Drosophila melanogaster: one gene and its partners. Changing the gene in region 1 together with any one later gene gives a genetic interaction. Each region holds a gene or a part of one and is shown on either strand. Other genes may lie near its edges. The genes, in order: krz, fog, Dif and mthl1.

Evidence for each region.
Region 2: of krz (region 1) and fog, changing one suppresses a phenotype caused by changing the other (phenotypic suppression), as found in Drosophila melanogaster (one study listed by BioGRID).
Region 3: of krz (region 1) and Dif, changing one suppresses a phenotype caused by changing the other (phenotypic suppression), as found in Drosophila melanogaster (one study listed by BioGRID).
Region 4: of krz (region 1) and mthl1, changing one suppresses a phenotype caused by changing the other (phenotypic suppression), as found in Drosophila melanogaster (one study listed by BioGRID).

The regions. Positions count from the first base shown.
Region 1 is NT_033777.3:32,045,656-32,054,063, reverse strand, and holds the start of krz (kurtz), read left to right. Parts: upstream 1-2,070; 5' UTR 2,071-2,224; coding exon 2,225-2,795; intron 2,796-4,194; coding exon 4,195-5,036; 3' UTR 5,037-8,408. Other genes in the region: mod (modulo), read right to left, coding at 1-441, 509-818, 1,087-1,329.
Region 2 is NC_004354.4:22,851,997-22,857,227, reverse strand, and holds the start of fog (folded gastrulation), read left to right. Parts: upstream 1-2,033; 5' UTR 2,034-2,185; exon of another isoform or gene 2,186-3,421; intron 3,422-5,231. UniProt on the Drosophila melanogaster protein: Coordinates cell shape changes during formation of the ventral furrow and invagination of the posterior midgut primordium, by inducing apical constriction of cells in spatially and temporally defined manners.
Region 3 is NT_033779.5:17,424,891-17,430,121, reverse strand, and holds the start of Dif (Dorsal-related immunity factor), read left to right. Parts: upstream 1-1,922; 5' UTR 1,923-2,466; intron 2,467-5,231.
Region 4 is NC_004354.4:16,639,159-16,645,982, reverse strand, and holds the start of mthl1 (methuselah-like 1), read right to left. Parts: upstream 5,016-6,824; 5' UTR 4,507-5,015; coding exon 2,476-4,506; 3' UTR 2,474-2,475; intron 117-2,473; exon of another isoform or gene 1-116. Other genes in the region: SNRPG (small nuclear ribonucleoprotein G), read left to right, coding at 5,646-5,677, 5,743-5,890, 5,953-6,003.

The DNA of each region.
Region 1 (8,408 bases):
CTTGTGAGATCCGACGAACCGTTATAAAGCGAGAAAACAGCTCAGTGCTATGCAGTTTAAGAGCCTTCGGTATGTCATCGACCGACGCCAAACGTACAAAAGCTCTGGGCATGAGGCGGTTACTGGATATAGTCACCGCCTCCACGGGAGCTACCTTCTCAAAAAAGGTTTTTAAGTCGTCCTTGGTAATATTAGGTCCAATCAGGCCAACCACCACCGTGCGTTCGTTGTTCTCTTCCTTATTTCTCGGTTGGGACACAGACAAAACATTGTCTCCAAGGGTTAACGCTTTAGGCTTAGCCTGCAGAACAGCTTCTGCTCCAGTTGACGTATCAAAGGCAATGAGAACTGATTTATTGCCATTCAAATTAGTGAAACGCTGCAAAGCGGAAAGTCGTCCGAACTTGGCGAACAATGCGACCAAGTCCTTGTGGAGATACTCTATGTGGAACAAATATACTAAGTTTAAATATACTTGAAAAATGAAATAATAAACCAGTTACTTTACCGTTTGGTAGGTTTGTGACAAAAACGATCTGGTTTTTTGGCGTTCCCAGCGGAATCTTGCCAACCTTTACTTTTGGAATTCCTCTATTTTCTTCGGACTTTTCAGAGTTGGCTTTTTCTGATTTCTTGGAAACTGGCTTCTCTACAGGCGCTTCTTCATCATCATCGGATTCATCTACCTCATCCGCGCCTTCACTTTTGGAAACCTCACCAGGCTCCAACTCATCGTCATCATCATCTTCCTCATCGTCACTATTGTACTCTTCATCTTCCTCAGCCTCGTCGTCAATTAAGCCCGCTGCCTCTTCGGTCTGAAAAGTAGACAATTTTCTTATAACCGCTGATGGGAGAGCACCAATAAAGACAATTTTTTTTTTATCGATATATGAACCGAGTCGGTATAAAACCAGAGGATCGTGGGTTATGTGCACTCGTCTTATAATTATAAAATCTTTACAACCACGTGGCAAAGAAAACGTAAAATGGATTCTTATCCATGCAGATCTATATATACGTGCATACTATGCATGTAATGTTAGCCATATCCATTCAGAAGACCACGTTTTTTTTATAGCTTACCTCAAAGTCGCTGTCGTCCCCTGGCTGCTCGTCATTTTGCTCCTCCACATCAGACTCGTCCTCTTCACTGAACTGCGGCACTTCTTTAACAGGCTGTTTTCTGGATTTTTTGGAAGGCGATTGGGGGACTACTGTCTCCTCTTCCTGTACCTTTGTGGACTTGGTTACCCGTTTGGCCAAAGGCTTTTCCTCTCCATTCGTAGCTTTTTTTCCTTTGACGGTGACGGCTTTCTTTTGGGCCATTTTGACAGCTTTTAGAGGTTTTCTGGGCAAAATTAGCAAAGTCAAGTTTGGACTGAACAACGCGTGGTTTCGTTCAATAAAATGCACGTGGAAAAGAGGGACAGAACAGTGTGACCGTTGTGCTCTATCGGTGCTAAGGCTGATTAAATAAAGTATTTTAGAGACTTCAATCTCATTTTTATAGCTCTATTCCACTACTAAATATGGTTTAAAGTCCGTTCATGCACATGTATACATATAAAAATAATAAAAGCCTTTAAAAAATAAAATAAATATTAAACAGTTTATATAAAGTATTTATTTAAGACTTAGGATACAATCTATGATTAGATATTTACCAACGGTCTGATTTTACATGTGTTTATACATTCCAAATGGTAAGTTTCCTCAATCATCAGCTATGAATCATCTGTTTCTAAAGGAATTTATAATATATATATTATATTTCATTAAAAAGCCAAGTCAACCTGCAGTTGCATTTTATCTTAGTAGGAAACTTAATGTTAATTCAAGCAATTGTTAATGGTATTGAAAGAAAAATTATTAAAAGTCACTTACTATGGGCCAGGGCACACTTAGGAAATATAAATAGGTGCCAAAAATGCAAAATAAATATTAATTATAGGCTGCGATTATGGTACGACCAAACATATATCGGTTTGTTCGCACTGAATTGAAATACCAGAGAAGTACATAATTTGTTAGTATGTAATATTCCCTGGTATTTTTCCAATGACTGTCAAGCAGTGCTGGTAAATGGCGGAACAAGTATACACATAAAAAATTAAATTGCAGCACAAGTCCCGCAACGCACACATATATTTATTTAACGGAGTTCCAATTAAGCAGGAACAGCAGAAAAGCAGAATAACAAGCATAACCGCCAAATAACATAATGAACGGTGGTGGTGGAGGAAGTGGAGGAGCAAATGTGAGCAATGGCTCCAGCACCAATGTAACAGCTGCCGGGAGCACTGGGGGCGGAAGCGCAGGCGACGAGACTGGTGGAGATGCCAGCTCCAGACGCCAGGCGACTCGGGTGTTTAAGAAGAGCTCCTCCAACGGCAAGATAACAGTTTACCTTGGCAAACGGGACTTCGTCGACCATGTCACGCACGTGGATCCCATTGACGGTGTTGTCTTCATTGATCCAGAGTACGTAAAGGACCGTAAGGTTTTTGGCCAGGTGCTTGCCGCCTTTCGGTACGGACGTGAAGACCTAGATGTTTTGGGATTAACGTTCCGTAAGGACCTGTATCTGGCGCATGAGCAGATCTATCCGCCCATGCAGCTGGACCGCCCGATGACCCGGCTTCAGGAAAGGTTAATTAAAAAGCTGGGGCCGAACGCCCATCCGTTTTATTTTGAGGTTCCGCCCTATTGCCCAGCCTCTGTGTCCTTGCAGCCGGCTCCTGGAGATGTGGGCAAGTCTTGCGGAGTAGACTACGAGCTGAAGGCCTTTGTGGGTGAGTCTTTGTGGGTCTGATCTTGTGGGTGTGTCCGTATACGGTGGTCAGTCAAAGTCAAAATCATTGATATTTCGCAGTGTGGCACATACCGTGTTTATTATATATGTTGCAATACATTAAATTTACAAATTTACAAATTTTTCTTTTTTCTTTACAAATTTTTCTTTTACCTTAGAGCAGTTAAATTGCGGGTACTATTGTTTCTGAGAATAAAATAATTTATTAAGAATATGGTTACAGTAGCAAAACTAGCTTTGTTCTTTTCTATAGAAGTTAGACTGTAAATTTCTTATATGTGTGGTTTTGTGTAAGTTAGCGCGTGCATCACGCGGTTGGGAACACAGGGTTAATCAATCCAACTACGTCGGGCTGATGACGCAGCGTTCACCTAATTGAAATTCGACACTTCTAATTGGAATTTGAATCAACCGAAGTTGCAGCGCAGTTAATGCTGTTGTTCGCCTTAACCAGGCGCCGCAGTTGGCGGTCTGACGATTTGTGTGCCAACAGCAAAGATCTTACATAGTTTCAAAATGTTTATTTGTTTAGTTTCTAATCTGTATTTAATAATTAAAAAAAGGTTTAAAGAATTTGTGCTTTATTTTATTAGTAGAAAGGTTTTTGGTTTCTGTAAATTTTAAATTTTTCATATTTTCGTACGATCGCCGAGCTCCACTCGCATATATATTATGTGCCCGTGGCACCCCCTTAATACATTCTCTGTTCAATAAATATTATTACCTATTGCCCTATTTTGTTTACACATTTTTGTGCTTTTATAGTTTCTGTTGGAATTTTATTATTATTCAGCAGCCAAATTGTTTACTGTTATAAACAGAGATTAATAAAATAGCAGCAATTGGCGTGTTGTTGGGTAAAAGAGTTTATAACAAGAACTTAATATTTATTTTTTCTGTATATAAGCCCAAATTCAATTTAAGAATAAAAACAACAATGTTGGAATTTGTACAGTTGGAAGAAACGATTTCTCAGTGCTTCTCTGCTTCCCCTCATGACAATTGAGTCAGCATTTTTATTTACTTTGCGTCTGTTCAATTGTGTATCTAATGTTCCTAGCTTTTATGTTTTTGGGATAACCAATTATATATATTTATGCGTATTTTTAAAGCAATGCTATTGATGATCAATTAAATGAATGTATATGCATATATATGAATAATATATATATATATATATATATATATATATATCCATATGTAAATGCCAGTAATTGTCGGCTTGTGATTAAACATCGTGGAATTCTATACATGATAGACTCAACATCAACGACAAATTTTGTAACGAATCGGACTACTGACACACCCGAGCGTCATGGGTTTTCTTCAACAAACATACATACATTGATGCCATTATTCATAATGTTTATCACTAATAGGTGAGAACGTGGAGGACAAACCCCACAAGCGGAACTCGGTGCGACTAACTATTCGCAAAGTCATGTACGCACCATCCAAAGTCGGTGAGCAGCCATCGATCGAAGTAAGCAAGGAGTTTATGATGAAGCCAAACAAGATCCATTTGGAAGCTACTTTGGACAAGGAGTTATACCACCACGGCGAAAAAATATCGGTCAACGTTCATGTGGCCAACAACTCAAATCGGACGGTAAAAAAGATTAAGGTATGTGTCCGGCAGTTTGCGGATATTTGTCTCTTTTCGACGGCGCAATATAAATCTGTAGTGGCAGAAATCGAGTCAGAAGACGGATGTCAAGTGGCTCCGGGATTTACACTCTCGAAGGTATTTGAGTTGTGCCCCCTATTGGCAAATAATAAGGATAAATGGGGCCTTGCTTTGGACGGGCAGCTAAAGCATGAGGACACCAATTTGGCGTCTAGCACTCTCATTACCAATCCTGCTCAGCGTGAGAGTCTCGGTATTATGGTCCACTATAAGGTGAAGGTGAAGTTGCTGATTAGCTCGCCACTTCTAAATGGTGACCTCGTAGCTGAGCTGCCATTCACACTAATGCACCCTAAGCCCGAGGAGGAAGAGCATCCACTGTTAGGGGAGCGATCGCCACGGGCTAGTTTAGCAGGCGGGGGTCTGCCGTTAGTGAGCATGAGTGACGGAGAAACTGAATCGGCTACTGGCGGGCAGGATGTGCCAACGACAACAAATCTCATTCAGCTGGACGACGACGAGGCACAAGATGACGACATAATTTTTGAGGACTTTGCCCGTCTGCGTCTAAAAGGCGCTGAAACAGAGGCCTAGATGAAAAAGGAATAGATCGAACTATTAATTCATATGAAGAAAATACTACTATTATTTTCGGCATTTGTATAATATAAAAAGTATGAGAAAATTGGGCAACCTCTAAATGTAAAGTTTTATACCAATAGCCATGGTAAACAGTTGGATTTAAGCTATTTTATATGTGTAGGCCATATATTGTAGTATCTATAGGGTTTAAGCTGAAAGTGTACGAATTTTAAAATGTGAAATTGATAAACCAGTCAACACACCAGATCTACACAAAATGCCCACGCATAAGTTAACTACACGAGCGAAGTATTTCGGCCACACCTGTAAAAGTTGAAAGAATTCACAAAATTTGATATGTAAATGTTGTATAATATTTTTTATTAAATGCCCTCTCCCATTATAAAAACGCATAAAACAAAAATTCATTTACAAATTCTAATGATCTTTTTATTATGCCTCTTCTTTTTGGGACATTGTTATTGCTTTGCAATGCATTGATAATTTGTTCGCAACTAATTTAAAATAAGTTTTTTGAGTAGAGTACGTTACTAAAAATGTTTCTAGATTTCTTTTCTGCAATTAAAAAGAAATGTTTTAGGATGGCTTGAGGTTTGGATGTTGTTTTATAAATATTCTTCCAATATTTCAAAAATAATTTGTTTTCAAAATTTATTACTAAAAAATAATAATATTAGAAATATCCATACCCATACCTTGAAACAATGATTTGTTATTTGTCATTAAAGTCGTGCATGCAAAAAAACTATTCTTGAAAAAGCTTTAAAATAGTTTTTAAATTTAATTTTAGCACAAATTTAATTTAATTTAAGACGGCATTCTTGATTCATTACAAACTTTGTAACCCTAGAAGCGAGTCCGACCCTATAAGGTACATTTATTATTTGTTAGGATACCCAACCAAGTCGATCTGACCATTTCCGTCTGTCTGTATAAACGCTGTCATGGCCATTTGTTACAGAAGATTGCCATGACTACTCACACGTAGACAGTTTTTTAAAAGGTTTGAAATTTCTTTATAGCTCTATCACTAGTTTGGGAACGAGAAAATGATACTCTGGTATATCAACTATACCGTTCTCTCTTGTAATTGAAAGTGTAATGGCGAAATGTGGTCTTAGACCCAGTTAAGCCACTTTTAATTTTCTCCACAAAAAATTAAAACAAATAATTTAAACGACAACAAAGCAATTAACTAATGGTGGATTTGGATTAAAAACTCCAGCTCTTTGCTGATAAAACCGCTTTGGCTAAAGCTTACATGAAGTGGACCTTCACAGGCGGAAATAGCTAACATAGACAATTTTCAAACACCTTTGGGAAATACCTTTCGTGTGGGAAATTTTTACGTTGAACACCAATTTCTTTCTTACTTTAATTAACAATGTCCGAATCGAAATTCGCCAACGAAAAATACTACACGAGTAATGCATTCGTAAAACTTATTTAGAGATACAAATTAAAAACGTGATCAGAACATTTCCAAATGTAAACCAAACAAGAGATGACGAAATATGATTTCTTTTATAAAGCACTTTAAAAATACGAATGATTGAAATTGGGGCTTTTAAATTGCGAACTTGAGCTGAAATTAAATTTTATTGCTTTAGGAAATGCTAATACTGTCAAAATTTAAAACATTTTAATAATTTTATTTTTTTATAGGACGTGTAAATGTGAAATTAGTATTAGCTTGATGTATAGGTTCGTACTTTTATTTTTAAAGTGAACAATATTGGAGAAATTATGAATAATAATAAATTAATATTAAGCGCATCACAAACTTGTTAAATGTATACAAATATAATACAACAAATTCAAAAATGTTGGAGCAATTAATATTAAAAGGCATAAATTGAAATGAGAACAGCAGAGGTGTGTGAGTATTATAAATTTATAAAGAAAAAATTAGGGCATAACTTCAAGTGTGAAGCATTTAAAAAGCAAATAATATATGTAAGCTTGTGCCCCAAACCGAATGAGCACTTGAAGAGTTGTAATGATCTTTTCTGCAGTTGAACCACCTGAACAAATACATTTTAGAACGAGCACAACAACTTTTTAACACAAATCGTTGATTTTTTAAAAGAGTCGTCTTGCTTTAGTCATAGTAGAATTATTATCAAATGATTTACCAAACTATTTAAGAATTAAAAATAACAATTTACAGTTAGTTTCCAATAAAGATAATAAATCAAAGCAGATATTGCAGAAATCGCAGAAACTATCGGTCTAGCGATATTATCGTGTTCAACGGGTCCAACTGCAATATGAGCAACATCACTTTTGTACTGTGAGTTACATGTTCTTATTTGTTAAAATGGTGTGATTTTTAAGAAGCTAAGATAACTTTTAAGATAAGTTGTAATGGTTTTGATAATACCTTTTAAAAAATAGCATATATATGTATATGTGTTGCAATTTAAGTGGATGAAACCTTTCATAGCCTGCACAATAAATAGAATATATATATATATATATGGGTAGCGGGTTAAGGTGATAAAACCTTTTAAAGCTGGCGCAAGAAATATTAAAAATATGTCACTTTTATTTTCTAAAAAACGTTTTGGTCTGGATATGCGTTGTATTCAATTTGATAAATATTTGGTTTATTGTGTGTATACAACTAGGCGACTAAATATTTGCCACCGTAGCCAACGCATCAAGCGAGCGAACCAAACAGAATATGAAATACAATACCTACCTACTCATGACTAATGTATAAAAAATATAAACGAAAGTGAAAGATTGAATGTTGTATGTTTAGTGTTGAAAAAAGGATGCAAAGAAATATGGAGAAAGAACATTTTTGACTGACACGTTGGAGCTCCATAAGAGAGGAAAAAAGAGTGGACTTTTGGAAAAGACTATGTTTGAAAAGCTTTAATATTGTATAATTAACAATGCATTGTATATACCACAATAATACATGGTAGCCGAAATCCTTATAAAAACTTTAATTTTTATTTTAGAAAATAATATCAATATAAATTCTCATGCCATGATAATCCCTACCCTCCAACGTGTCCATCAAATAATTAACATTTTACATACGAGCCTTATGCGAACGAAACCATAAATAACTAATGCATTTGCATTGAAATTGCCAACGTATTTTAAAATTCCAAATATCATTACTATACCCGTTACTCGTAAAGTCAATGGTCCTACCAGATTTGTTTGACCCTTAAGTCCTGTCTGTCTGTTAAAAGTTAACTTTAGGAGCTACAGATTTGGGGCTTACATGTGGATTCTAGTAACGCCTAAGCAAATTTTAACCGTTATCCGTGCCGACTCTTAAGCCTAAAATTCCTACCAGGTTTTTTATGATTTAATAGTTTTATAAATATTTTCGGCTTAATT
Region 2 (5,231 bases), on another chromosome or scaffold:
AAAAGGTCAGCGAAAGGGGGTGGGGTCTGAAAAAGGAAGGGAAGAAGCAGCAGCGAAGGCAAACAATCGAGAGAAAACGAAATTTTTTAATTGATTTCACTTAAATCACTTTTGCTTCACAACAACGCAGCATCTGCGCAAGAAGAAGGAAAAGTACGAAAACACATTTCGGTATTTTTTCTTATTTGTTTAACTTTTGTTTCTTCGATTTTTAGTTTTTGGGCGAATGACCGAAGACGAGCCCCGCACACTTGACCATCGCATCGATAAGTCCATACGAAGGGAAGACGGCGAAGAATGAGAGAATAGGGAAATGGGGATGATCCCAATTCGTACACTTGGCAAAATACCCTTAGTTTAGTTGTGGTCATTTTTAGTTCCCTAAGCTAACTCTGTAAATTTATTTTTTAAAGTAATGATCTATATCATCTACATAAAATTGCTTTTATTCATGAATTTTAGCCGGAATCACTGCATAAAAAATAAAGGGAATTCACCTTAATCAAATCGAAATTGAAACGCTGTAAACGACAAAGTGGCCTTAATTGGCCATTATGTTGGCCTAAACACCGGCACAGGCTCAAGTGGCGGCTAAAATTACCAAGAAGTGCGATTTGCGATTCAGTGCCCAATGATGATGACGGGGAACAAAACCATGACTGCTATCAACTTCAATTAGGTTTCGAGGAAATCCATCTCCGACTTTCCAGCTTTTCCGAGATATTTTTATTAAGCCGGCCACTCCAGTTAGCCTTACATATTTCCGAATGTTAGTAGTGTCTGTAGGGGTCTACCGAACTCGGACAAAATTGAAAATAAAAATTTTATTTAATAAGGTACATACATACATACATAGTACATATGTAAATAGAAACAAACAGCCAACGGAAAATTACCAGGAAGAGCCGTACTGCCTTTTTAAATTGAACAACTAGCAGCATTCAGAAAAAATTAAAAGCAGAGAACATCATTAATCATCCTTTGCAGGCGGCCAAAAGAGAGCATCTCCCTAATTGAGAACAAGAGAACATAACAGAAGAAAATGTTAATCATGTATGGGAAAAACAAAAAAGAAAAGAGAATTGTCGAGAAGAGTAAAAGGGTATACTAGATTCGTTAAAAAGAATGTAACAGGGAGAAGGAAGCGTTTTCAACCATATATGTATATGTATATGTACATGTACTTGTATATGTACATGTGTATATATGTATCGTGATCAGGATCAATCAGGACCAGTCGAACTGGTCATGTCCGTCTGTCTGTCCGTCCGTATGAACGTCGAGATATCAGAAAATATAAAAGCTAGATTCTAGAGACATTAGACGCAGCGAAAGTTTGTTCCCCATGATGCCACGCCCACAAACCTCCCAAAACTGCCACGCTCACACCTTTGCATAATGTTTTGATAGTTTTCCATATTTCTATGACTCTTGTTAATTTTTATCGATATGATAAAAATTCCCACTCTAATGCACCAAAACTGACACTCCCACACTTTTGAGAAATGATTTAATTTTTTTGTATTAAACCAGTTGTTTTTCCAATTTATAGATATGCCGAAGATATGCTATCTTAAACCGCCCAATATATCCTGCCCAGACCTTAGAGAATTAAAATTAATTTTTTCCCACCAATTTCTACTAATGTTCGTGAAAAATGTTGAAAAGTCTCGTCCCACTTGGACTTGCTGAATAACGGGTATCTGATAGTCGGGGAACTCGACTATAGCGTTCTCTCTTGTTTTAAATTAATGACATACATACTCAAAACAATGCACGATCAAAACAGCAAAATGATTTCTTTGTGCAGTTGCAACTTAAGAGCAATGAAAACTGAGCGCGGCTTCAGCGCGCTCTTTGAAAAGAGTTCCCTAATGCCGCGCATCGGCTCTTTTCTCTCGGCTAAGATCATTGTCGAACGCGCGTACATATACATATATACAGTACATGTATATTTATATCTGACCACTCTCTGTCTGTCGCAGCGACTGCGGCGCCGACGTCGACGCCTGCGACGACACGTTTCGAAGCCGCTTCTCATTCAAAAAACAACTGTGAACGTGATCGGTAACGGTGCGTGTTCTCTTGTCCGCCCGCTACAGTCTCTTCAAAAAAAAAAACTTAAAAGAAATGAGGGGGGAAGAAAGCGGATAAAAATCACCAACAATAGTAGCAAATGAAAAAAGTAAAGTAACACTATCATTTCGATTGAATTTGTAACATAAATTCGATATTTAAGAGACATGTGCAATCGGTCAAAACGTGGCGCATATAACTTAAAAGCAAATAGTAACATGGGAATATAAATTTGTAATATACATAAATATCTTCTGATTGTGTCCCTTAAAAACGTTTCTTCGTGTGCTTTTATTTTATCTAAATTTGACCCGATTTTAATTTGAATTTGAACAAGAACCTAAACTAAAACAAAACAAAAAAACATTCGAATGCTTATCTGTAAAAGGAAACAGGAAAGAGAGAACGAACGAAGTGAAAATAAAGTAGAATAAAATAAAATACATACTACGAGGCATGTATAAATATACTACGCTTTTGTGTTTATACTACATTGTGAAACAGTTGTCGTTGTACTTGTTGTTGTCTTTACAGCAACAGGCGTCCGATAATTTATAATCTTAAAAATATATGTGCGCCGTACATATAGATTCGCCTACTGAAAAACCCGAGATCAACTTTAAAATACTAGTACCAACCATAATTTGAAGCTTAGCTTTGAGTTATAAATATTTAGTTAACGTTATTTCACAATGATATATATTAAATATCTACAATATTTCACAATCTTAAGCTATTTTCGGTGCACATGTAGGCATTATTTTTGAATTGCACTCAATGTTGCATACAAAATAATTCTCTTTCGTTTTTCCCAAACAGGATGTTACCATTGATACCTTTTGAAGTCGATTTGTTGTAGTGTGTTTTTTTTTCGTGTGCGCAAAAGTCTTTGTGAATTATATGATAATACATGTGATACAGTTGGAGAAATAAAATAGATAAATCAACAAAATCGAATACAAAACCGTGTTGTCCTAATGAGCCTAACAACTGCAGCGAAAAATGAAAGGCAGCCAGCGACGGGAAAACTTTAAGCAACTGAAAAAAATTTAGTATCTTACAAGTTTGAACTGGCTCTTACCAGCAAGCCAATCAACACATACATATAAAATTCTTAATAAACCAAACAAAAAATTAAGCTCAACCGCCATCAAATCGAAATTCAAAACGAGCCAATTTGTGGTGTTTATTATTTATTTGTATGCTAATTTATTTTTACAACAACTTGATATTAACCCACAATCAAAGAAAAACAAAAGTGGGGAAAAGACAAAGAAGAAGCAACTAAAAGCAAAAGCAGCGCACCTTCTTCGGCATCTTTGTTTTGGGATATAAAACAGCAAAAGTAAGTGGATTGTATGTATTTTTATTTAACGTTTATGTGTGTTTTATAATGCCCATCGAATAACCCATTATTACTTTGCGCTGCGAAACTTGTTTCTTAATGCAAATTAAATTGAAAGGAAGCCAGCGAAATGTATACAGCCCAGAAAATTTGGATAACAGATTCGAAACCCACAGTATCTCGTTTCTGGTACTCCTTATTATCCTGCTTCATTATTTCCTGGGTATCAGGATGTCTCGTTTTCGTGGGCTTATCCTAGCGGTTTTTCCGGTCTCACGCCCGATGCTGACCTTCTGACTCTGCGGATGTGGGAAATCTAGCCATTCTGCAGATACAGAGCTGGCTCTTGAGATCTTAAATGACCAAATCGGGAGGTATTTAGTCTAATGCTTTTCGAAGTAGCTATTACGCGTCCAAATGGATTCAGCATGAATATGTTTGGGCTCATGCCATTGACTGACGAGTAGGTATAGTTTCCCTAAAAGCGAACTGATAAATATTAAAAGCATTTTTAATCACTTCTTGAACAACAATAGACACGTGCACATTTCTCAATCTGGTCAAGCGCCTTACTAGTTATTGCAAAAACCAATTTCACGACGTGACCACAATGGATGACAACTGACCTTAGTGTCATCATGCAACCAAAACAATCGAACTACACCAATTCGAGGCGCATTAGGTGTCTTATCGGGGTTCGCTCTCAAACATTTGCCAAACAAGTGAGTTCACGATTATGTTTACAGAGGTGAGTTCCATGAGTTCGCTGGTAATGGACATGATGATGATAATGCCGATGAAGTCACGCGGTGACTATCAGCGCCAATGTGGCAAAGTGATCACTTCCGCTGGACGCAAAATATATTGCGGCTTAAAATGGAAAACTAAAAGCAAACCATGAACGAATTTCGGTACCAAAATTTTATTCCCGCATGAAAGTGTAACCAAGTTAATTGCATTTAACCGACTGTCCAAAAAATAAAGAGCTGGAAGGGTGGCCAAGCACTCAAGTGACTGGGAAATTGTTGACATGCACACTGAGAAAAATGGCCATATTTATGTGTGTATTTAGTAAATTTTTCCGTGGACTCGTTCTTTTATTTGTTTTTGCGCAGACATGAATTACAAAATGTTTTTTGTGCAAGTTCCAAAACGCCCGCAAAATGCTCCAAAAGTCATTATCAGCAATAGAAAGTGTTACAGACGGCACGAAAATTAAATTACGGGTATTGTGATGGTACGTATACATACATATGTATGAATACTATATAGATAGAGTTCGCTTCGATTGCCTCGACTATCAGATAGCCGTCACTCAGCCATAACTCCTAAAATAATTATCCGATTCAAATTATCTATACAGCTATTGTCTTCCGGACATACATATATTTATGCCTATGTTGATACCCCCCCGGGAACGTGGAATGAAATCAGCAACCGAAAAAAAAAACGAATCTATCACGAAATTATTTTCGAGGCTCTTGAGTCCCTTGTGCCCATGGCTATGCAGCCGTGGTAAAATTGATTCAGCTGCATCGGGGCAAACAGCATTAAACGGTCGATCCATAGGGCAGTACGTGCCTGAGGGCCCAAAAGCCGAAAACCAAAAACCGATGGCAATATACGACCTCCACTTACACGAAAAACTTGGGGATTATTTGTTCTGGAATTTCTGGAATCTATCCTATTCCCATTCTGTACAATGCTTTCAAGGGGATTCCAAGAAATCGGCTAATGCTGATGTAAGAAGTTCCGAAAAAGTTCGTACCTGGAAGTACTAAATACAATACATATGTACATTTGGCGTAAA
Region 3 (5,231 bases), on another chromosome or scaffold:
TTAAGATGTATGTGCTATTTGTTTCTCCCAGTGCATATTTGGTGGCCTTAAACTGGCGCTGGCTGAAGAGGAGCAATAAAAGCGGCAGCAACAACAAGTGGTTGCTCAACTATGCGCTCCGCCGTCAAGCCCCCTTCGCCCCCTTCCACCCCCTTCCACGATTTCTTTGGGGCTTGGCTTTGTTTTTCTGCATTCTCTCTTCCTCGCTCTCTCTCTCCCTCTCGTTCCCGCTCACGCGCGTGACCTTGAAGCGCAAATGTGCCAGAATTGCAGGGGGAGTTGTTTGGGCGGGGGTAGAGTCTTTGACTTCTCCCCCTTTTTTTCTTCTCTTCTTCTTCGGGGAGCTTAATAAAGAGTTGGAGATTTCTGTGACGTCTGATATGTTTACTGAAAGTGGCTACTACGTCATGGGGCATTTGTCATACATGTATGGCTAAAAGCACAATCGCAACTAAAATCCTTCTACAGTGATCCCTAGCCATAAAGAGCAAGAAATTTTAAAATAATAGAATAAAAGTGTGGATTACAATTGTAAATTTGATAATAACATGTTCAAAAAGTTATACAAATTGTCGTACTATATTTTCATCTATATCTAAATATTCATATTTGCTCAATAAATTGCTAAATAAATAAATATCTGTTTTCCTAACTTAAAATTTCTCAAACCCCAGAGCTGAAATAGTTTAGTTTATTTTTGCACGTCCTGAGGTATTCTTGGCTTTGTTGCAATCCTATATAGATGTAAATTGCGGCCGGGAAATTTGCTCCCAAAATGCATTTTGTCCGCAGACGAGCCCACGCTACATGAAAACTGTGTTTTTAGTTCGAAATTTTCGTGGGCTAGCAGAAATAAATTATACTATTTTCATTCATGCACAACAATAATGAAATATTTCCACCCGATTGGCAATGTTAACTGCAAATATTTTTCCCCTACGTGTTTGGTCTGCACTTGTGTTTATTTCAATGACTAAAATCTGTCTATGGAACAGAAGCCAAAAATTGAGTTAATAACTCAGTTCGACCTTAGACGTTGGCGAATCTTTTTTCGGTCTCATTTGGGAATTTTGTTGGCGTGAATTAGCAACGTTGTATGGATTTTATAATTTACATTTGCCGAGGGTCGAACTCGTTTCAGGTCTGTCAATTCCTGGGAAAATCAATAAAAACATTCAGCTGTCATACCTATATTAGATAAATAGATCTATTGTTATGCATCTGGCTAATAGTTGTCGATTTTTTTCGGCTTCTCATTCCAGAATGGCGAATGATTCACATAAAGAAAAACTTTTCCTCCTATCTGATCTTATAATAAACCTTTGATCTTGATTTGTCCAGAAACCTGTGCACTATTTTAAACGAATTTTTAATGAGAAAAGAGTTCATGTGAAATAACATCTTAGGTATTTTGAATTTTTATGATATTTCCAAACCATTCATAACAATAAATTTTCATTCCCAGCAAAAAGTACACATTTTTTTGTAAGGGAATCAATGTTTACTTATAGCCGAAAATCGAAATTGGAACACCTGCAGAGCGTTATAAAAATCTCAACACTTTTCCAAATCCACTTAAAAATCTATAACCATTTTTTCTGCTCGATGGCGTCATAGGAACGCACTTGAACACAAATACATTAGAGAGAACGAAACATTGAGTACGCACAACGGAAATGAAAATAAATAAAGGAAAAGTGAAGCAGTTTCGAAAATAAAAACAGATATTGGCACCCTCCGTCAGTTGCGATCAGCAACCATCATATCAGCAGCGGTAACTTTTTATCACGTATACGTATCACGTATACGTATCAAGTATACGAACCGAATGCATGCGATCGCAGAGAGCGAACAGCTGAGAATGGAGCCTGAGCTATCGAAGCCATTCCGAAGCTCTCTTGCAGCCGAGTGTGAAGCGAACCGCTCAGTTTCAATCTGAACTTGGCCGCCGACGGACGTGAAGCGCCGACTTGTTCACACATAGATATCCATACATATATATATACATATAGATGTACATATAACGCATATTGTGCAAGTCGCACGCGACTATATAGCTGCCAGTGTATTGGTTAATTATACGAAGCACGACAACTACAACGTAAACTACAGATGTGTGTATAAATCAATGTCCGCTCTAAACAGGCGGCTGCAGTGTCAATAGCAAAAATTAAACAAAACTCAAAAGTAAAATACATGAGCGGAGCAACAACGTCGCTTGTGGGAGCAACTTTTGTTTTTGTTTTCAATTTCTTCATAATTTTTTTGGCGCGCCTTTTGTGAGTCGCGCGCGATAAGTCCGACACATAAACCGAAAACCAGTCAATCATAAAAGACAAATTTAATCAATTACACGTGTCAACACAACAAAGAGCTAATTCGATTTCTGTCTGACCCAGTGCATTCGGATCGAGAATCCAAATTTAATCAAGCATTTAAAGCAGCCTACCTACTACACCATAAAAGGTTAGCTATAATAAATTTTCTGAAACTATAGTCAGCTAGCTAGCTTAAGGCGTAGTTTGTAAAGTCCCCGGTCCAGAAGGCGGCTTTAGAAACTTAGGTACAGACAGCTTCCCGTGTCAGGTTCGATTGCAATGGCACTGCAAAAAACTACGTGCCAGCAACTCGGCGGAATTCATAAATTTTAATCCCAGATACATAAATAAGTACACAATTTTCCGATGCGGGCAATTACTTATCTAATGCCACGTGTAATGAAATTTGTATTTATTAATAGTGAAGTGAAAAACGGGAATACGGCCGGGTTCACTAGACTGCGTAATCGCAAAAAAAAACGACAAAAAATTTTAATTTTTAGTGTATTATTTTTATTTTGTTTTTTTTGTCCATGCGGGAAATATTTTAAATATTTTTGTGACTTCTTTAATCTACTTCCTGTTTGATTTGAACCTAAACACCCGAAAGATTATAGGCATAGCTATATCAATACATTAAATATAGACTTTGTGCAATACTTCGTAAATATTTATTAAAATATGGTATGTTTTTGCTTATCAGCAAATATATATTTCTGCTAGTGTAACTGCAGTTTTGCAACCCAACAGGCGTATAATATATGCAAATGAAAACAAGAAAGGCGGTTGACTGCGATTTATTAAAAGAGAATAACACTCAGTACGACATTTACTAGTAGTCCCAGTGTTTCTTTCTTGTTTTATTGGTCGACTACGAAAAATCATTAACATACTGGTTCAGATTTGTACATTTGCACATAACATATGCCGGAACTGCACCCTAGAGTAGACATTTCCTCCCAAGAGCAATAATGTATGCAATTATAAACATTATAACTCTTATCTCAAAATTATAGTGCCAAAGCTGTTTGTGACGTTTTCACATTTCAAGCTGTTGTATTGGAAATAATTTAGGCGTTGATATAAAAAATTGGAAGAATATAGCTACTCAGTTAGTCTTTAAATAACTTTCCAAATGTGAAAGAAAATCTGCTCAAGAGGAGCCAAAAAGAAGAGGAATTCAATGGTCAAAAAAAAAAAAATCGAAGCAAATGCAAATATTTATATTAACAAAATGTAAATATTTTTACAACTGAAATCGGCACGGCAAAAGTTTATAAAAATTTGCGGTGGCATCTGGAAGATTTCGTTTATTTCATTTGTAATCAAAGGAATATACAACCTGAACCGTGGAACTGAAACTGCAATCGAAAGACACGAAATGGCATAAAGTCTTTAAGACTTTTGCCTTATCCGCACGCAAAACATTCGGCCATTTGGCCGTTTCGGAATCCATAAAAATAGAATGAAATGGAACAGTCATGGTCAAAACTTACTCAAATATCGATTTATCTGCTCCCAGCCAGCAGCTATCTAACTTGTATTGGGCGATGAACCGATGATGCCAACGGCAGCGGAATTGTTTTCGGTAATTGTAGAAAATAAAACACAAACAAAGTCCGCACTTTTCACACCTTTTGGTCCATGTGTGTGCGATTGCTTACATACAGTATAAAGTCGCAGTCTAGCTATAACTTTGCCAATTGTATTAAGCAGACTTGTTTCCGAATTGAAAGTTATTGTAAATTAAATGCCAGCGGGAGAAGGAAGGTCACAGCCTGTACACACATTTGTGTGTAGGGTGCAAGTCTAATTGGTAAACAATTGAGAAACGGTCAAAACGATGAACTCTGGATAGAGCTGGTTAAATATATGTTGCTAAGAATTATCAGAAACCTTTGAATTACTTATTCTTTAAATTAAAATTTAAATTAAAATTTAAAGAATACACAATGAGAAGCTTCATGTAAGCTATAGTATTTTCACCCACCAGTAATCGATTCAAAACTATTTTTACTGTAAAATAATATAACAAACTTATACTAATTATGTTTGTTTTCAAGAGTCAATTCAGCTTGATCAGTTTATTGAATACTTGTACACTTTTTCGGAAAACCCAAGAGAGCAAATGCAATTGCTTTGAACTTATTTCAATTAACTGATAAGACTTGAACTTTAATCAGCAAGAAGAAAATCCCAGCGGGGCTTTATATTCTAGTCTCCCTGATAACCCGGCGTGAGATTGAGTACTATACCTTATATATATTTCTTTTCATTTTCCGCATGAACAAAAACCAACTAAACTTTAAAATGATCTGTCATTCACATTTACATCGCCAACCAAAGCCCAAGTTCTACAAACAATTCACGCCACCACACAATTTTACAAACAATGCGGGGAAAAATATAGCTGAATCCCATTACGCATACGCCATGTTGTACCGAATCTGAATTGATTGAATCGTGAAAAGTTTTATAGCAAAATAATTAAATGCTGCGGTTTCCTCCAATTTTCGGCCATCGCGTGTCGGTCGTTTTTCTTGGCTGAAAGCGAATGTACGTACGAACGATTTGTCTTGGCCATTAGAATGGAAATGGCTCCAACGCTTGGGTAAATGAGGTCTGGTGCGATGTGGTCTGGCTCGGCATTCTGGGAATGTTTTTGGGGTGCTCGGGCATTATTTACTTGACTGCAAAAATGTTTCCTTTGATTTGCTTGAAAGGCAATGAAAATCGATTGGCTGTACAATTTAACTTTTGACTGCAAATGGGTGGTGATGAGCGAAGCCAACCTAGATGTAACCGAATTAATTACCTTTTAATTAGTTTTATACATTATGATTTTTCAAGTAACACGGCACACAAAATAAAAATAGCAAACGATTCGAGCATTCGACCATTCAAAATTGCCCT
Region 4 (6,824 bases), on another chromosome or scaffold:
AACACAAATGGCACGGCAGCTGCAGTTGCAGTTGCAGATGCATTTCGGGTTGCCTTCGAAGTTGCAGTTTGCAGTTTGCAGTCTGCAGTTGGCAAATGCATGCAGGTCACAGTTTTAAGCCGACTGACTGCCCCTTTTTTTTTTAGTCTGATTACGAGTGTTGCGTGTGCCAGCCACAATTTCAGATTTCCACAATTTCAGATTTCAGATTTCATGTTTCTGTTTTCGGTTTTCAGCTTTTCAGGGGCCAGGCCATTTAACTCGGTTGCGCAATCTCATCGAATGGGCCCATGGGCCAAAAACCCACTGTTTGTTTTGTTTTCTCTTTCGTTTGGGCAAAACCTCTGATTCCAACACGGACCTACACACAAGCGAATGGCAGACAGACAGCACATCTGTTCACCCGGACAGACACGCATCCCAAAAAGTATGACGCGATCAGGGCCCAAAAAAAAAAATAAAAAATAAAAGTAAAAAGTAACAAACAATAAAACGCGAGGGCAAAGAATTAACTGCCACCAGCAGCTGTCATATTCGAAAATGTTACAAACTGAAGTAATTACACATTTTCCATACGCCTTTGTGCAATGCAAACCAATGTTTCTTGGGCTCTAATAACAAAAACATGGCCTAAACAAAGCAGCATTTGTTGTTAATATAGAGAAACAGAAACTTCATTGATTAGTTTCTTTCATTAATGTTGCTATCAACATGCAGTGCATACAAAAAAAAAGTTTTTTTTTATTGTTAAATCCTTATCTTTTCATTGGAACATTAAGCCACCAGTTTAATGCTAGATTTCAAGTTGCCCTGTTTTTTTTTTAGTGCCCGAAAATGGAATTATTGTTTTTCAAAACTTTATGATCGCCGCACAGAGGTTTCTTTTTAGATAATTGTAGATTGTGCCGAGTTCGAGACCTGTCCGCATGTTTGCCATTGGATCATTTGGGAGATGTGTCAAAACCACTCGAGGCGACCAAACTAACAAACTAACAAACTAACAAAGTAACAAGTAAATAAGTAAATGGGCCGAAATCCAAACAAGACGATGGTGTGTTGTGTGCTTATCACCATCACCATCGCCATCGTCGCCGGTGAGTCCAATTTAAACTCGATTTTCCCTTACGGATTCGGCAACACACATTTTTTGAATCCAACCGATACGGATGCCAGCAACGATTTCCATTATCTTCGCTTGCGTGTGTGTCAAGGGTTGCGCTGATTACTTTATGGCCATGTGGAAATGTGGAAATCGACAGGAAATTCAAAAATCGAATTCGCCCGGCCCGGCGTCAGAGTTTTCCGATGAAAAACATAACGGCACACAGCGGCAACATTTTCATCTTTATGACCATACTCGAACTCAAGTGGTGCACGCGAAATCGTAAACTTGGCGCATGTTGTTAAACAATTTCGGTCATGCAAATGAAGAATATGGTCACTATTTGACCATCGCAGGACGATCTTCTTATCCTACGTAAATACGTAAATTTCCCCCTATAAAACCATAAAACGAAACGAAAACGTGCTAGACTTTTTCAACCGGCGCCTGGTTGGAAAAACGCTCCAGGTAGCCGCAAGTTGTCAGGAAATCTCGAACCCTTAAATTTCATCTGGATAGCGTATAGTCCACATGGGGGGTGTGAGATGAATAGTGTCCTATAGAGAAGGGTATTTTCCAACATGGCCATTGACCGTTGAAACTCCAAAGGTTTTGAATTGAAAAGTTCGTATCGTTTTCCCCCATAGAAAACCAAACTAGTTTCTTTTGTTTTTTATCTTCATATGGTGGTGGTTGGTTCTCGAAAGTTGTCGGCGCATGACAAATTCGGGGTTTCCTATTTGTTTTCACATTTTGTGAATACCTCATTGGTATTTGGGTTAAATCCACAGACAGCGCAATTATCACACTATCTTCTACGACACATATATCGTCCGGACATTTTTGGTTATATACCGGAAAATTCAGCTAATGTGTCAATTCAATTTACACGGATTCTAAATCATTTTCGAGTTAATTTAAGACCCTCTATTTAGCACGCTATTTTTGAAAGACTAAAACTTAATAAGAAACTTAGGTTCTTGGGTCCAAATACCAAACCTTCCACCGATTGAAGTCTATTGAAGCTAAAGCTGCTTAGTGATATTGAAGTGGCCCCACCTGTACATACGTGCGCTTTATAGGATCGAAACTGCTGCGATGCATGGCGTAACCGGCGAGCAAACAGCCAGCCAGCCAGCCAGCCAGCTCATTGAGATACTTTGCATTCCCGGCTGGGCCCTAAAGCCCATTAAGGCCGATAAGTCTATCAGCAAGTGTGTGTGTGTGTGTGTGTGTGCTTAAAGCCGCGTTTTGTAAGCCACTTGGCAAACTGCGCTGGGAGTGGGAACAGCAGGCGCTTTGTTTGCGCGCTGGCAAACAGAGCTATCTCTTTACAAGCACACTTCATTGGCTATCGGGTGTTCAACTTACGTTTAGCAAATGGTCTCCATTTTGACGATGGGTGCGACGGGGGCAATGGGAGCCTTCTCCGGTACCTCATCCTCCGCCGGATTGCTGGGCATGTGAGTGGCGGTCGTGTTGGTTGTCGTGGTGGTGGTGGTGGTGTTCTGTGTAATCTCCGTGCCGCCGGCCATCGAGGGCAAACCCTGCGAGCTGCTCGAATGCTGGACACCGTTGGTCGTATTGGTGATGTCATGACGCAATCGCGGACAGAAGATCCTGCGGCAGGCGGTCCACACCTGCGGCTGGCAGCCCACCACGATGAAGATGAAGACGCCTTGCAGGGCGTTGATCAGGTCGGTGAAGAACCATACGCCATGCGGTCCACCCACTAGCCAGGACAGAATGTCCGCTATCCAGGTGACACCCATAACGACGACTAGCTTCAGGCAGACGCGTCCCAGGGCGGACTTCTCCGATGAGGACTTGACATCGTCCCGTTTCCACAGGCCGCACGTCAACTGATGGGTGGTGGACACGAAGAGCGCTATATTGGCGCACAGCAGCAGGCCAATGGGTCCGTAGAAGTAGGCGAAGATCGAGAGATTGCGATTGTCGAACCAGCAGTAGAGCTGTCCGAATCCCGGACGCAGTAGCGTCGTCTCCGGCAGCTGGTCCACGCAGGCGGCCACGAAGGTGATAAGCAGAGGACCGCCCCAAGCGTACAGGGAGTACAGATAGCGACGCAGTGCCTCCTGATTGCGTTCCAACGAACTGGGCCGAAAGTCCCGGAACGTCCACCAGATGTTGAAGCACATGGTGTTCAGCCAAAAGAAGGCGGCCAGAAAGAAGAACTGCATGGTGATAGCAAGCGTATGGCAGGCGGCACTGCCCGGCTGCAGGCTGGAGCTCAGCTCCTCGATGGCCAGCAGTATTTTGCCGAATAGCAAGCAGGTGACATAGCAGATTTGGCAGCGCCAATGAAGCGCATGATGCACAGCGGGCAGCAGGAAGCCGGCCACCAAAGTGGCGGACAGGAAGACAATGGACACAAGTATGCCACCAGTCAGGACGGCCTTCTGCAGATTCTGGCCATTGGCCTGCTCGATGGTGCCTCCAATGGAGCCGTCGTGGATGCCGGCTCCTGCCGCGGAGCTAAACAAATGCTGGCAGGCTATGATCTTCACCTCGCCCTCGCGCTGCGTGTGCTCCAGGCAGTATTGTCCGGCGCTGAGGTTCTTGTGCGGCAACTGGAGCATGGCCGTGTTCCGATCCAGCTTGGCATCCTGCCAATCACCGGCAATGGAGTAGCCACCGGGTTGGCCACAGTCGGGCAGGCCGTAGCTAGTCTGATAGCTGCCCTCCGGTAGCTGCGGCGACAATCGCAGCAGTCCATCGACGGCTGCCTGATGGTTGGGCTGCAGATCGCAGTTCTGGAGCTGCGTGTTATAGCTGCCCCACTTGCCGCAGCACTTGCTCAGTCGCAGGCTAGCCTTGGGCGGCTCCTGCTGCACGAGAGGATTGGCTGCATAATCGGGATCCTCCAGAGCATTGATCGGCTGACTGTCGTTCAAGCAAACGACGGCCACCTCCCAGTCGACACAGTAATCCGACGGCTGGACCATTAGAGCGCGTTCCCGCACATAGAGCGTGCCATTGGGAAAGAGCATCACATTGGCTCCGCGGCTGCGAAAGATCTCCGTCGTCTGGTCCTTTCGGCACGTGGGTCTCGTATTGGGCAGGAACTTCAAGAATCGCGGACTGGCGCCATGGGGCTCGAAGAAGCGCTGCTGCTGCACCAAGTACACCATGGGCAGCCACAGGGCTTCGCTGCCGGCGATGCAGGTGCCATCGTTCAGATACTCGCCCGAATGGCAGCACTTGTTGAGCTTCACGGTGGGCGGCGGCGATGGACGTGGCGGGGCGGCCGGTGGTGGCGACATCTCCTCGATGGCCAAACTCATCGACACAAGCGTCTGCAGCAGGATGACGGTCGTCAGTAGGCCACATGGCCTGATGAACTGGTTGCTGCTGGCAGCTCTGCTACTCCGACTCCTGTCCATCGTTAGCTCACTCGTCAAGATCTGTGTGGATTTCAGGTTCTCTTGTCTCTTGGCCTCAATTTGCAATTTATGTGGCTATGTACTACACATAGCTTTAGCTATGCTGTTTTTCTTTTGATTTTGCGTTCCGTTTCGCTTCGTCGAATAGCACTTTTCACTTTTCCTCTCTTTCGTTGGCAAATGGAAAATCAGAAAATGCTGAATTTCACCGCCGCAAGTTGGGCAAACAAACACCGAAAATCGTTAAGTAAACAACACACGCTGCGCTGCGTTCGATTTCGAATGCATTCCAATATAAAATAGAGTTGTCAGCGAATCATGTATTTATCACAATATCACATTCTTATCGTTGCGTTTTCATTGCGTGCTTGTGCGCCAAGGCTTTTCAGTCAGTCTCCGTTTTCAGTCGTAAACACGGCGCGCGGTGTGTAAAAAAAAATATATGCACGATTTGCGCTCCGATTTTAACGCGCATCAGACTTTTCCTCGCGTTTTTTTCGAAATACTATCGTCGATCAGGGGGGCGGGGATTTTATACGGGTGCCTGGGCGAGTGTGACCCTGTGCGATGCCGAAATACCTGTAGCCGGGGTCACACTGCAGCGCAGATCTGCGCTAACCACAAAATAGCCTTTTCACACGGCCGCTACAAGTCGCGTTGATGCGGTATGTTCGCACTGCCTGAAGTAGGGAGGCATATATAAAAAAAATGTCAGCTTCTCTTTCAAGAATCGATTTCAGCAAACAAAATTGGTTAAATAAACTAAGGATTAATGTTTTTTTTTATTTATACTAACCGTTAATAAAAAGTGTGAAAGATCGTTTATGCGGATGCGACGTCTGTTTAAATAAATCGTTTTGCCATTAATAGAATACTGTCATTTACCACTCCTTGTATATATGTTTTTATATTGCGATTTAGAAGGATTATTCCTATGTTATTTGCTATTTGAAAATTTCATTTATGTGAGCACTTAAAAGCCAGCGAATTTGGCGGAAAAATATTTTTCCCGCCCGAAAGTGTGACCAGTTGGTAGAGTGACCAAGACGATAGTATAGCTCCAATCAATAGTGACATCTCTAGCTTGCGGTCCGCGTTTTTACTTAATTTTCCCATTTTGCGCAAATTAAACCATCAAAATGTCGAAGGCCCATCCCCCAGAGGTGAAAAAGTAAGTGCAACCCATGTGGGAAAAAGATAGCGCTCCATAAATGCAATTAACAATACAACTTGCAGATACATGGACAAGCGCATGATGCTGAAACTGAACGGCGGACGCGCGGTGACCGGTATTTTGCGAGGCTTCGATCCCTTCATGAACGTGGTCCTGGACGACACGGTGGAGGAGTGCAAGGACAACACGAAGAACAACATCGGCATGGTGGTAAGATGCGCAGCATACCCTGCCATAAACTATCGACTCACTCGTTTTTCCCACCTGGCCAGGTTATCCGCGGCAACAGCATCGTCATGGTGGAGGCCCTGGACAGGGTCTAGCACCCGCCTCGGAACCCGATCTCGTCGAGCATCGTTAGCCGTAGTGCTTAGTCTTAAGGCTCCGTAACATTCATAGTCAGAAGAAACACACAAACTCTTGAATAAATTCTATAACAAAGATACCCCTTTTTGAACTGACAATTTATATGAGCAGTTTGGAAAATAAGTCGAAAATATTTAATAATATTGCGTACTTTGTGGATTTACTGCATTGGGAACTTGAGTCGGAAGATTGCCACTTTAAATGACGTCGCCAAGACTAGCAAATGTATTTTCCAAGAAATGCAAACACAGATAGCTTTACACATAATTGGTTTCCAAATCAATTTTTGTGCCTTTGATTTTATACAAATGCTTGGCTTCTTGATTTCTTTGTTAATTTAACTTATTTTCGGCTATTAGTGCCTTACTTGTTGAAAGATTTTGGCCATCTCCTTTTGAATTTGTATAACAATGTTCGATCGACAAAATAAAAGGCTACGTCTTTTTAGTCTTCAATCAATGCAAGAAGTTTACTTCAAGTATATCAGAAAGTTCTTTATCCGCAGATTTTATTTGTCGAAATGGAATAGAAAACAAGACACAATATATATTGAAGCAAGGCAGCTCCACCATTTCACCAAAAAGGGAATGATTTAAATCTAAAGATTAACCTTACCAAGTCCGCATGACTAAATTTCAATGAACTATGCTGTCGCACATGAGCAGTGTGTATAGATATAAAATGTTTATTTCTGCAAGGCAAGCAACCACTTAGCACATGGATTGTTAATGAAACTATGCACCTTCTAAGGGCAGAATACCAAACTGATACTGATAGT